3 linked regions of the Canis lupus familiaris genome follow. The protein of the gene in region 1 interacts with the protein of each later gene in a pairwise test. Links are inferred from orthologs where the notes say so. Each region holds a gene or a part of one and is shown on either strand. Other genes may lie near its edges. The genes, in order: STK16, MIIP and PLSCR3.

Region 1 (3,742 bases):
TGCACGGAGAAGAGCTCTGGGGCGCGGTAGGAGATGGTGCATCGCTGGGCTGCCCAGTCCTGGAAGAGTGGCCCCATAGCTCAAAAGAGAGGCACAGGTCATAGTCATGTGACCAAACTGGGGCATGCAACAGGAAAGGCTGAGGATGGGGAACAGGAGGGCAAAGGAACCTGGACACTCTTTTACCTGCAGGGCCAGAGCCTGGCGGGAGCCTTCCACATGGATGCAAGCTTGATTCATGGAACCCAAGTCCATTAAAACTGGCTGCCCCTCATCTCCAAGCAAGATATTGGTGGGCTTCAGGTCCCTGCAGGAAAGTGGAAATAAATGGCCCATGAACATCCCTGGATAGGGAGACTAGAATCCCTGGGGGCAAAAGAATCATGGGGACTGTTCCTTGGGAGGAGAGCAGAGACCACTCAATCCTTTTGGTGAGGCTCTTTCTTTCTGCCCCATAAGCACACTGGGCCCTCCCACTGACCTGTGGGCATAACCTCTGGCATGAATGGCCTCAAGGCCTCTGCAGATACCCAGCAGCAGCTGAAGGATTTGATCTTCAGTCAAGAAGTTGCCTTTGTCCTTCAGCCTTTCTATCTCGTTCCACAGCGTACCCCTCTGCAACACAAGTTTCCCCACGGTTGGACAGGTTTTCTGGGTCTCTGCTCCCTCAGCCTGATCCCTTCCCTGTGTCACAGCCTAGCAGCTCTTTCACCACACACACTACACACCTCACAGTCCCACTTGGGTTCCCCTAAACCCCAAATCTGAAGCGGTCCAACACAGGACATGGTCTCTGCTTCCTAACGTGCTTGGCTACTCACACAGCCCTCGGTAGATGACTCTGTTGCAAGCCCCTCCATTGCCAGGAGACTTTCTGACCTTGAAGAAGGGTAGCAGCAGCCAGGCCTCATGTTTAGTGCCCCGCTCCCTCAGACAATAAGCCACAAGGCGGAGGATGTTGGGGTGATGGAAGAGGCGATGCATGTCTGCTTCTCGTTGGGCTTCCTCCCGATCCTGCTGCTCGTGACACAGGATCCGCTTCAGGGCGTAGAAGTGTCCATCATGTAACCCCTCCACTAGGTCCACATAGCTGAACCCACTGTGGGCCAAAGGGGTCAGTGAAGGACCACGGTCATCTCCCACACTGCTTGGACCCAGAGGAACTCCCTGGGTGGGGAGGGGAGGGGGTGTCTTTCCCAGTCAGCAGAAACCCTCCCAAGACGTGGCTTCAGGAGAAGTCTGAAGATTTTACACTTTGAGCTCAAGGGTAGGAACACAGCAATCTTTGAGGTACCTTGGTCATAATGCACAGCTCTGCACGTGACAAATGCTCCGGAAATGTTACATGAGTAAGTAACAGTCAACATCTGTCAAGTGCTGTGAACCGGGCCCTGGGTGAGATTATTATTATTATTTTTTCTCTTTTTGGTGAGATGATTTCTATGCACTATCTCATTTAATCCTCACAACTCCATCAGCGACAAAAGATAATTATCTCCAGGGCAGCCCGGGTGGCCCAGCGGTTTAGCGCAGCCTTCAGCCCAGGGCCTGACCCTGGAGACCCAGGATCGAGTCCCGCATCGGGCTCCCTGCATGGGGCCTGCTTCTCCCTCTGCCTGTGCATGTGCGTGTGTGTGTGTCTCTAATAAATAAAATCTTAAAAAAAAAAAAAAAAAGATGATTATCTCCATTAAGCAGATGATGAAACCACGGCTTAAGGTCACACCAGGTGGAGCCAGGAGGCCTGGCTCCAGAATCCACTTTCTTGGCATTCGGGTTGCTAGGCTCTGTCAGGGGAGCTAAAGGATGCTTTACAAGGATGAACCTCCTGAGGCCCTATCACGTGCAGACTGCTGTCCTTCACTCACCAGAACCCTGGGGGCTGGCTAGGCGATTTCAACACTCACCCCTCCCCCAGTTTCTGGATGAAGAGGTAGCGCTTGTTGTCAATGAGGACGGTTCCCCGGGAGCAGACACACAGCGCGTGGCCCATAGCGCCTCAGTCATCCTCCTCAGGGGCGGTCCGGGGCTGCCGACGGCCGCGTGCGGGCTGAGGGGGCTCTTCCAGGCGACGCGCTGGGGGCCCCGCGGATCATGCTGGAAGGCAAAGGACGGCAGGGTCGTGGGCCAGGCACGACCCCCGAAGTGCCGACGTGCAGAGCTGGCGCCCGGGCCTCGGAACGCAGAGGAAACGAGCCTTGGCGACGCCGGCTCGGGCACGGCCGAGGTCGGGTGCCCTGGAGCCTCGGGCCACGCCGCGACGCCCAGGCCGCGTCCTCGCCGTCGGGCCGCCTCGGCAGCCGCGGAGCGTGGGGGCGAGGCCCGGGCCCACCCGGCGGGGCCCGCCCCGGCCTCGGCGCGCAGAGCCCCGGGAGGGCCGGCCCCGACTCCCCACTGACCTGGCTCCGGCCGGAGACGAGCGCCGCGGACCGGAAGGAGCGTCTACGTCATCAGGCCGCGCCGGCGTAACGGCCCGCGGTATCCTAGCAACCGCAGGGCATCCGGAGGATGTGGGGGCGCGGAGCTGAGAGGCCGGGGGCGGGCTAAGGCGCGGGGGAGCACGGGTCCCGGGACCCGGTGAGGGTTCCACACCAGGCCTTCAGTAGTGGGCAGGACGCAGGCACCCGCGCCCAAGGGGAGCAAAGCCGGGCTCGGCCCGAGGCCCCCCAGGCCCCCCGTCTCCCAATGCCGGAGGTAGGAAGCTGCAGTCCAGCCCCGAGGGGCGGGGGCCGGGCGGGGGCCGGCGGCCTGGACCCCCACAGCGCCGATCGGTGCACCCTTCGGGGCTCAGGCCTGCATCCCACTACCCTAGTTTCAGTGGTTAAGAGCTTACTAGCTGCGTGACCTTGGACGACTTAACCTCTCAGAGCCTCGGTTTCCCCAGTTGTAAACAAGCTCTAACAGTACCTAAGGTTAGGTGCCCGTACGGGGAGGCCAGGCTGCAGCTCCCAGCTCTGCTAAACTAGCTGCGTGACCTTGAGCAGACTATTTAAAATTTCTGCCTCTCAATTCCCTCATGGGTAAAATGGGAGTGATAATTACCAACTGCACGGAGCTTTTTGAAGATGAAGTGAGATGTAAAGTGCTTAGCACACTATCTGACACAGCCTTGGTGTCAATAAATAGAAGTTGCTGTTATTTTTATTATGATTCTATTTTTCTTATCCTGGTCCTTACATCCCAGGCTTGGGATTGTGAAGGCAGGAGTCATGGAAATTCATAAATTCCCAAGCCTTGGCCCCAGGTAGTTGTTCTTGACAGCTCTCGCTGAGGCAGGGCAGGGATAAATTGAAGAGCGGTGGACATCCAAAGAAGACAGAATGGCTGAGGTGGTCTCTTTTGCTGTAGCAGGGCCACTAGGAGAAAAAAAAAAAAATCCCATTTATAACTTGGTTCCTACTTTCACACCACTGGGAAGATTGATTCCGAACCTGTTTTAGCCCCCTGGTTCCGACATTCATTCATCTAGATTTAACCTGCTATGTACCGAGTCCCGTGCTAGAAGCTGAGGATGCAAGATGGACAAGGTACTCTTCACCCTCAGGGAGCTCAGTTTAGTACCACAGTGCTTCTCAATCTTGAATGCCTTTCGGATCGCCTGGGAATCTTGTTAAAATCCAAATTCTGATTCTAATAGGTCTGAGGTAGGACCTGAGACTCTGCATTTCTAACAAGCTCCCAGGTGATGCTGATGAAGCGGATTCAAGATGTAGAGGATCTTACAAACTAGTAGAGTAGCGCG
Region 2 (3,251 bases), on another chromosome or scaffold:
TGATCTGGGCTCTCGGCCCGCCCACCCTCTGGCTCCCCGCCCGGCCCCGACCACAGCCCCGACCACCTGTGGCTCCGGGGGCTTGGCTAGAGAGGGCCTCAGAGGAGCCTGGGGCCCTGGACCCCAGCTTTAGGAACCAGGGGGGAGAACTCACTCACTGCTCGCTGTCTGCAGGGGCCAGCCTGAGGCCCCGAGCCCCCACCCCAGAGGCCACCCACCCAGGGCTGGAAGCTGCAGGTACACCCAGGCATTGGATCTACCCCACCCAGCGTCAGACCCCCTGTCCCCGGGGTGGGCAGGCGCTGCCAGGGTACCTCCCGGACACCGAGGGCAACAGCAGGACAGACCCAGCACACAGGGCAACCTGGAGCTACAGACGAGGATGGGCTTTATTTACAAACATGTCACATCCCCACCTCTGTCCAAGAGGGACAAGGGCCTGGGTCCCTCCACCTGCCCAACCTAGGAGGCCGGAGCTTAAGTGCACCTGCAGCTGAGGCCGGGCAGGGCTCCCTCCTCGGATGCCCTAACAGAGAAGACGGGTTACAGCTGGTGGCCGCGGCTCCATCCTCCTCTAAATGGCCAGTCCTCAGGGCTTCACAGGGGGCGCAGGCCTGGGGTCCTGACCACACTGGGGTGCAGGGTGGGACCCGTGTTGGCAGGGCCTGGATGGTCACCCTCCGTTCCCCCCTCATCCCCATCTGGATTGTAGAGTCCAGGTCACCTTCCCGGGTGGGGTGGGGCAGCTGGCAGGGAGCAGAAGAGCCTGAAGGGAGGTGCCGTGGGCGGGGAGGACGGGCCCCTGCAGAGACGCTCCTGGCTCTGCTCCCCCTGCCCCCTCCCGCCCCCGGGGGCTCTGCAGACCCCAGGCCTGCTCCAAGGCATGTCCGTCCTGGGGCACCCTGACCATACCAGGTAGGAAGGGCTGGCAGCGGGCAGCTTCCGGTGCTGGGCCTCGGAGGACACACAGGACCAGAGGTCCAGGCTCCTGGGGGCTGAGCTCTTCTCGGATTTGGGAGGGAAAATGTCCCAGCCCAGCAAGCAGTGCTGTGGACAGCAAGGGTTAAGGCGTCTGGCCTGTGGCAGGGCTCCCTTCCAGGGGGCGCACCCCGGGGAGGGGGCTGTGTCCACACACTGGGGGACCCCAGGCCCTGGCCCCGACCTGAGACAGGAGGGGGATGTCCATGGACAGTGGCTGAGCACTTCCCGGGCACCACGTGCCCCATGGCCCAGAAGTACTGATTCACTGAAGGGCCCGACTCACCCCACTGGTCTGAGGACCGTAGGCTGTACCCATTTTACAGATGAGCACCCCTTCTCCTCCCCACCGACCCCCACCCTGGCCAGGAGACACGAAGAACGTTTCCATGGGAGGCACCAGGAACTGGAAGGGCCTGCTCACATCTCTGCTCTGCCACCTGCTGACCTGAGCCCAGGCACCTCCCTCTGCCTCGGTCTCCTTATTTGAACCGCGGGAGGCTCCAGGACCTGCGCTCCTGGTTGCCGTGAGGGCTCCGTGAGCCAAGCCTCCGAGAGGCCGCGCACGGCACACGGGAGCTCCAGGAAGGCGGCCCACGTATGAGGGGCGGGCGAGCAAGCAGACCAGCAGGCGATGGGAGCGGCCCGGCCTCGCTGTGTGGCCCTGGGACAGTCTCGGCCCTCCCTGGGCCTCAGAATCCATCTGGGGACCTGCCTCCGAGCCCAGCTCCACCCAGGCCCCATGTGGCCGCTCACCCGGGGCAGGGCCAGCGTGTCGGAGGCGTCGAAGCTCTTTCGCCGGTGGATGCGGTACTGGTGTGGAGGGTGGAGGACGGACAGCGGGATGCTCACCCTGCGGGAGGGGGCAGAGAGGAGGCACTGTGGGGCCAGCGTCCCAGGCCGCCCTGCACCCCTCAGGACCGGCCCGGCCTCAGGCTGGCTCCCCTCCTCGGCCGCCCCTGTGCTGCCCCCAGTACCTGCCTGCTCTGGCCACTCACCTGACATGCGCGGGCTCCAGCAGGGTCTCAGGGCCCCTCTGGTCCCGGGGGGTCTTGCACAGGCGGCAGGGGACACCGGGGTCGGAAGGCACCAGAAACAGGCGTCGGTTGACGTGGTAACAGTACACGCCTGCGGGGCCGTGAGCAGCGGCTCCCCTCAGCTGGGCCCCCACCTCCCCGAGCCCCTGCTGCCCACCCCACACGCACAGACACGTACGGGTGTACACACACACACACATACACGACACAGACGTGCACGTGTGCTCACGTGACGAAACCAGCGGGACACAGGCTGGTGCCCTCACACAAACGGGCATTTTCACACCCGTGTGCAGGCGTGACACAGCTTCATACCACACTAGTGAACACAAACGCACACCTGTAGCAGTCATCACACACAGCACACATGCGCCATCCACACACGTGTGCACACATGCTACACGTGCGGGCTCGAAGCAAAGACAGGCGCGAAGGAAAGAGGCGGCCGGGGCGGGGGAGGTGGGCGACAGGGCCGGCCTGGTCCTGCAGGGTCTGGCCTCAGCTGCCCCGCAGCCCCCAAGGTCTGCCTCACTGCACCTGGACCCCAGGCCCCCCAGCCCCCCGCCGCCTCCCTGGGCGCCTGGTGAGAACACCCACTCACATGCATGCTCTTCCTCCACGCCACGGCTCTCCCGCACGCCTGGGGGCCGGGGCCTGCGAGGGGAGAGGGCTGAGAGCCAGCGGGCGGGGGGGGGGGGGGGGGGGGGGGGGGAGGGGTGAGCCGCCCTCCCACCCCTCGCCACCCCTCGCCACCCCTGCTCACTCCGGGTCGCTGTGAATACACTCCTCCTTGTTGGCCTCCCGGAAATCCTTCAGCTCCGAGAAGAAGGCATCGGGCTTGCTGGTGACGGGGGAGCTGTTGTCCAGCGACCCTGGAGGGGGCGAGCGGCAGCGCTGCTGTGTGGCTGTGGGCCGGGGACAGGGGCCGGCACTTGGGGCGACTCTGCCCCGCTGCCTCACACGACACACCAGCGGGGGCGCCCCACGCACCGCGACCGCCAGCTCCGCACCGAGCGAGTCGGCCCTCACGCCGTCCCAGTCCCACCGTCCGCGCAGCGAACAAGCACAGCGAACAAGCATGGATGGACGGAGCCAGGCGGGAGGAGGGAACTAGATGGGTCGGCCTCGCGGGCCTCACGAGGAGGCGGTGGGGGTGACCCAGGCTCCTAAGAAACCTGAGGCACGACATCGCGGGGTGACACCTGCCAGGAGGGAAGAGCCCTCGGGGGAGCACGC
Region 3 (3,642 bases), on another chromosome or scaffold:
GCTGATGGTCCCTTAAAGAACCCGAGTGTCTGTGAGATGCCTTTGTCTTCTAGAAATGAAAGCGCTTCCCCGGCCTCACCCTGAAACTGTCACCGCTTGGGTGCTCCAGGCTGGTGATAGAATGCATGTTGACAAGGATATACATCACTGGATCATAGGTTGGAAGGGCAAGCCACAGGATGTTAGCAATTAAAATTGTTGTTTACTCCAGAGTCTGAGGCTCACAAAGTCATGCATAGCAGCCACATGGTCCAGCCCACAGCGGACTTGCCCTGAATCAAGCCTAGGTTTTTTGCCCCCTTCCACATAGGGTAACAATCAGCTTTGGTCCTTACGATGAAACCCTCTTTACCAAGCTTTCCTTTCTTAAGACCACAGGGGCAACCCTTTCTGAATGAAGGAACACTGGAAACAGGACAGGAGTCACAGTGGATTCAGACTGATGACCTCAGGGACCTTAGTGTTGGCCATCCTGTCTCATTCACAGAAGCCACCGTCTTGGTTGATGAAGGTCCCAGGAATCTCCCCTTATTCACAATACCTCAAAGTTGGTGTCTGAGCCACAGCCACAGGTCCAGCAGGGCCCCACCACACGCAGCACCGTGCGGCGGTCAGCATCCTGGATGGAGAACTTGGGGAGGAAGGGATGCCAGGTCTGTAGCACGTGGCCAATGGTAGTGCCGGGTGGAGCCTGGACTTCCATCTGGAGTGGGAGGCAGACAGGGTGACTGCCGAGCCAGGGCACCCTGGCCCAAGCTCTCACCGCTCGGGCTCTGTCACCCGTCTGCCCTGCCAAGACCTCCCATTCCTTGTCACCTCCCCTCGCTGACCTCGCGTTCCATCTGCCTGCGCCCACCGGGGCCACACTGGACCCCGCGCCTCATTCTGGGTGGTCCAGATTCCACCCAAGGGCCCCCCCATCACGGCCTGCCGCCCACCCAAACCCCTCCCTGGCCCCAGCCCTCCCCGCCCACCTCCTGGAGGCCGCAGGGGCAGCAGCCGCAGCCACAGTGCAGGGGGCGGAGCAGGCGCAGCACCTCACGATCCCCGGGGTCCACCACGCGCACACGCAGGGGCCGCCGGGCGCCGCAGCACAGACGCGCACAGCAGCTGCTCTCCTCCGCTGCCTGACCCAGGGGCTGTCCTGCCCCAGAGCGCAGTTCATACCGGTTACAGGTCTCCCAGCCCAGGAGCGCTGCCAGGGGTGACAGGCCGAGGCTCAGGCACAGGAACAGGCACCTGCCCGAGGGCCCTCTCTCTCTGCCCCCGGGATGAGGCCCAACCTACTCCTCCTTCCACTCACTTTCCACTCGCTCGGCCTTCTGGTGAATCAAGATCTGATCAATCTGGAAAGAGTCGGGTCGGCACCAATGTTAGCTGGCTGGCCTGGACGCCAGGGTCCCCTCCTCGTCGCTCCCGTCCCCTCCTTCCCACTCACCTGCACCAGGAATTCGAGGCCAGAAGGCACCCCCGGCAATGGCAAGAACGGGGCAGCAGGCCCTGGGGCTGCGGGGCCGGGCGAGGGGAAGAGAGAGAAGCCGGGCGCGGGAGCAGGTACATGGGTGGGCACAGGCACAGGCACCTGCCCAGGCCCGGGGTGCAGCGCCGGCTCCGGGTACCCAGCGGTCACAGGGTAGGGAGGCGGGGGTGAAGGGGCGTGCCCTTTGGGGGGCAAGTAGCCTGTGGTGGGGAGGGGAAGAGAGGGGATCAGAAAGCTTCCCCCCCCCCCCCCGCCTCATCCTCCCCCCACCCCCCCGCCGCCCCTTAGGCCATGGCCGGGCTGCGGGGCTGCAGGGAAGGGGGAGAATGCGATGGGCAGAGGCTGAGCAAGATGGGGCGGGGGAGCAGGGCGGCGGCTCCCGGGAGGAAGGGAGGGGCCCCACGCAGCCAGTCGGAGCACATTCCCGGAGGATGTGTTCGATGCCCAGCTCCCCAGTCTGTGGGGGGGATAACGGGGACTCTCAGCGCGGCGCCCACTTACCTGCCATGGGAGAGGGGCGAGAGATGACGGGATGGCGGGGTCCCAGACGCTCAGTTTTAGAGGTAGAAGCAAGTTCGGGCACAGCCAGACAGACACAGAGGCAGACACAAAGACGGACAGGCAGACGCGGACAGGCAGCTGCGCCCGCGCCGGCCCAGGGTCCCTCGGGCGGCGCCTCTGACTCAGGAAGAAACCGAAAGTGTCAGCGTGCAGGGCGGGGTACCTGGGACCCTGGATTCCCTCGGGGGCCCCAGAACCGCCCCCTCCCTTTGTTCTCCCATTTTCCGTGGAGGCGGCGGTTGACAGACGGCAAGGCAGGTGGACCCGCGGCCTGACCGACGGCCGGACCTCCAGGGAGGCCTCCTGACCCTTCGGCGCCCCCTCCTCCCCCGCTCACCTGAAGCCCCTGGGATAGCTGGGGTGCCCAGCACTCGGTGGCTCACAGGAGCTGGAGGAGGCGGGCCCGGGGTCTGACCCCGCCCCTCGACCCGTCCGAGCCCCGCCCCTCCCGGCCTGGGTGGCGCGCCTGCGCAGAAAGGGAGCCGGCTCTGCGGGGCCGCTGACCGCTGACCGCCGGCTGTCGGGTGCGGTCTGCGTCCCCGCCGCCTCTGCTCCGCCGCGGGGGATCAGGGGGAGCTGGCCTGGGGCGGGCCGCCGACGGAGACCTGGCCCTGCCACCCCGCCAGGTCCCCGGGAACAGAGTGCCTCCGTGTCCCTGGGTGGGAAGCGAGGGCAGCTGGCGCTGCGCTGGACCCCAGGCTCCTCCTCTCGAGGGCGGTGCGGGGCCCCGCTGACGCAGCGGAACACCCTTCCTCTCCCTCATTGGCTTCCAGGGCTGGCCCCCAGCTCCCCCTCTGTCCCCTGGGGGATTGCCTGGCGGGCTCCTCTCCGTGACGTCGCAGTCACCCACGCGGGCACCTTGCAACGACAGGACTGCCCGCAGGAGCCCCCGGCCACGTGGGTGACAGGCCGCCAAACGGTGTCAACAATGAGTGTGCGCGCAGTGGGGCTGGGGGGGGTGCAGAGGAGGAGCGCGGCTAGCAGGAAAGCCTTCTCCCCGAGGAGTCGCTTCTGCTGGGTCCCGAGCAGAGGCCCGCAGGGGTGAGGCGGTCCTGAGCCTTGGGACCCACAGGCCGAGGGGCAAGAGAGGACCTTACAGACGGAGGCCAGCCCATGTGTGCGCAAGGCAGGTGGGAGCTGGGACTTGGCGCCCGGGTCCACAGGGAGCCCACTGAAAGAGGATTTCTTTTTAAAAATATTTTATTTATTCATGAGAGACACACACAAAGAGAGGCAGAGACACAGGCAGAGGGAGAAGCAGGCTCCATGCAGGGAGCCTGAGGTGGGACTGGATCCCGGATCTCCAAGATCATGCCCTGGGCTGAAGGCGGCGCTAAACTGCTGAGCCACCGGGGCTGCCCCGAAAGATGATTTTAAGACCCAAAAAGAAGGCCAAATTTGTGTTTTAGAAAAACCATTTAAGCTGCAAGGTGAAGAACGATGGTCTGGGTCGTTGATGGTAGCCAGGAGGAGAGGATGCTGTGTTATTAGTACAGACACAAGTGGCAGACCTGGAGGACACCTAGACAATAATAGAGAACTTGTTTGAGGGGTGAGATGTGGAGGTGAGGAGTTCAGGATGACCTCGGGTACCTGTCTGG

What was found.
Region 2: the proteins of STK16 (region 1) and MIIP interact in binary tests that used the Homo sapiens proteins (3 or more experiments, as listed by UniProt). The two-hybrid records come from large-scale screens. The link is inferred for Canis lupus familiaris from reciprocal best matches to the Homo sapiens genes STK16 and MIIP.
Region 3: the proteins of STK16 (region 1) and PLSCR3 interact in binary tests that used the Homo sapiens proteins (3 or more experiments, as listed by UniProt). The two-hybrid records come from large-scale screens. The link is inferred for Canis lupus familiaris from reciprocal best matches to the Homo sapiens genes STK16 and PLSCR3.

Annotation. Positions count from the first base shown.
Region 1 is NC_049258.1:25,668,359-25,672,100, reverse strand, and holds the start of STK16 (serine/threonine-protein kinase 16), read right to left. Parts: upstream 2,495-3,742; 5' UTR 2,400-2,494; intron 2,098-2,399; 5' UTR 1,994-2,097; coding exon 1,908-1,993; intron 1,319-1,907; exon of another isoform or gene 1,304-1,318; coding exon of another isoform or gene 1,295-1,303; intron 1,100-1,294; coding exon 880-1,099; intron 616-879; coding exon 482-615; intron 308-481; coding exon 187-307; intron 60-186; coding exon 1-59. UniProt on the Homo sapiens protein: Membrane-associated protein kinase that phosphorylates on serine and threonine residues. In vitro substrates include DRG1, ENO1 and EIF4EBP1. Also autophosphorylates. May be involved in secretory vesicle trafficking or intracellular signaling.
Region 2 is NC_049223.1:83,744,641-83,747,891, forward strand, and holds the end of MIIP (migration and invasion-inhibitory protein), read right to left. Parts: intron 2,888-3,251; coding exon 2,779-2,887; intron 2,670-2,778; coding exon 2,617-2,669; intron 2,107-2,616; coding exon 1,977-2,106; intron 1,832-1,976; coding exon 1,735-1,831; intron 1,048-1,734; coding exon 913-1,047; intron 632-912; coding exon 590-631; 3' UTR 513-589; downstream 1-512.
Region 3 is NC_049226.1:32,535,448-32,539,089, forward strand, and holds part of PLSCR3 (phospholipid scramblase 3), read right to left. Parts: intron 2,839-3,642; exon of another isoform or gene 2,379-2,838; intron 2,163-2,378; exon of another isoform or gene 2,159-2,162; 5' UTR 1,989-2,158; coding exon 1,982-1,988; intron 1,681-1,981; coding exon 1,439-1,680; intron 1,347-1,438; coding exon 1,304-1,346; intron 1,196-1,303; coding exon 975-1,195; intron 704-974; coding exon 542-703; intron 1-541. UniProt on the Homo sapiens protein: Catalyzes calcium-induced ATP-independent rapid bidirectional and non-specific movement of the phospholipids (lipid scrambling or lipid flip-flop) between the inner and outer membrane of the mitochondria.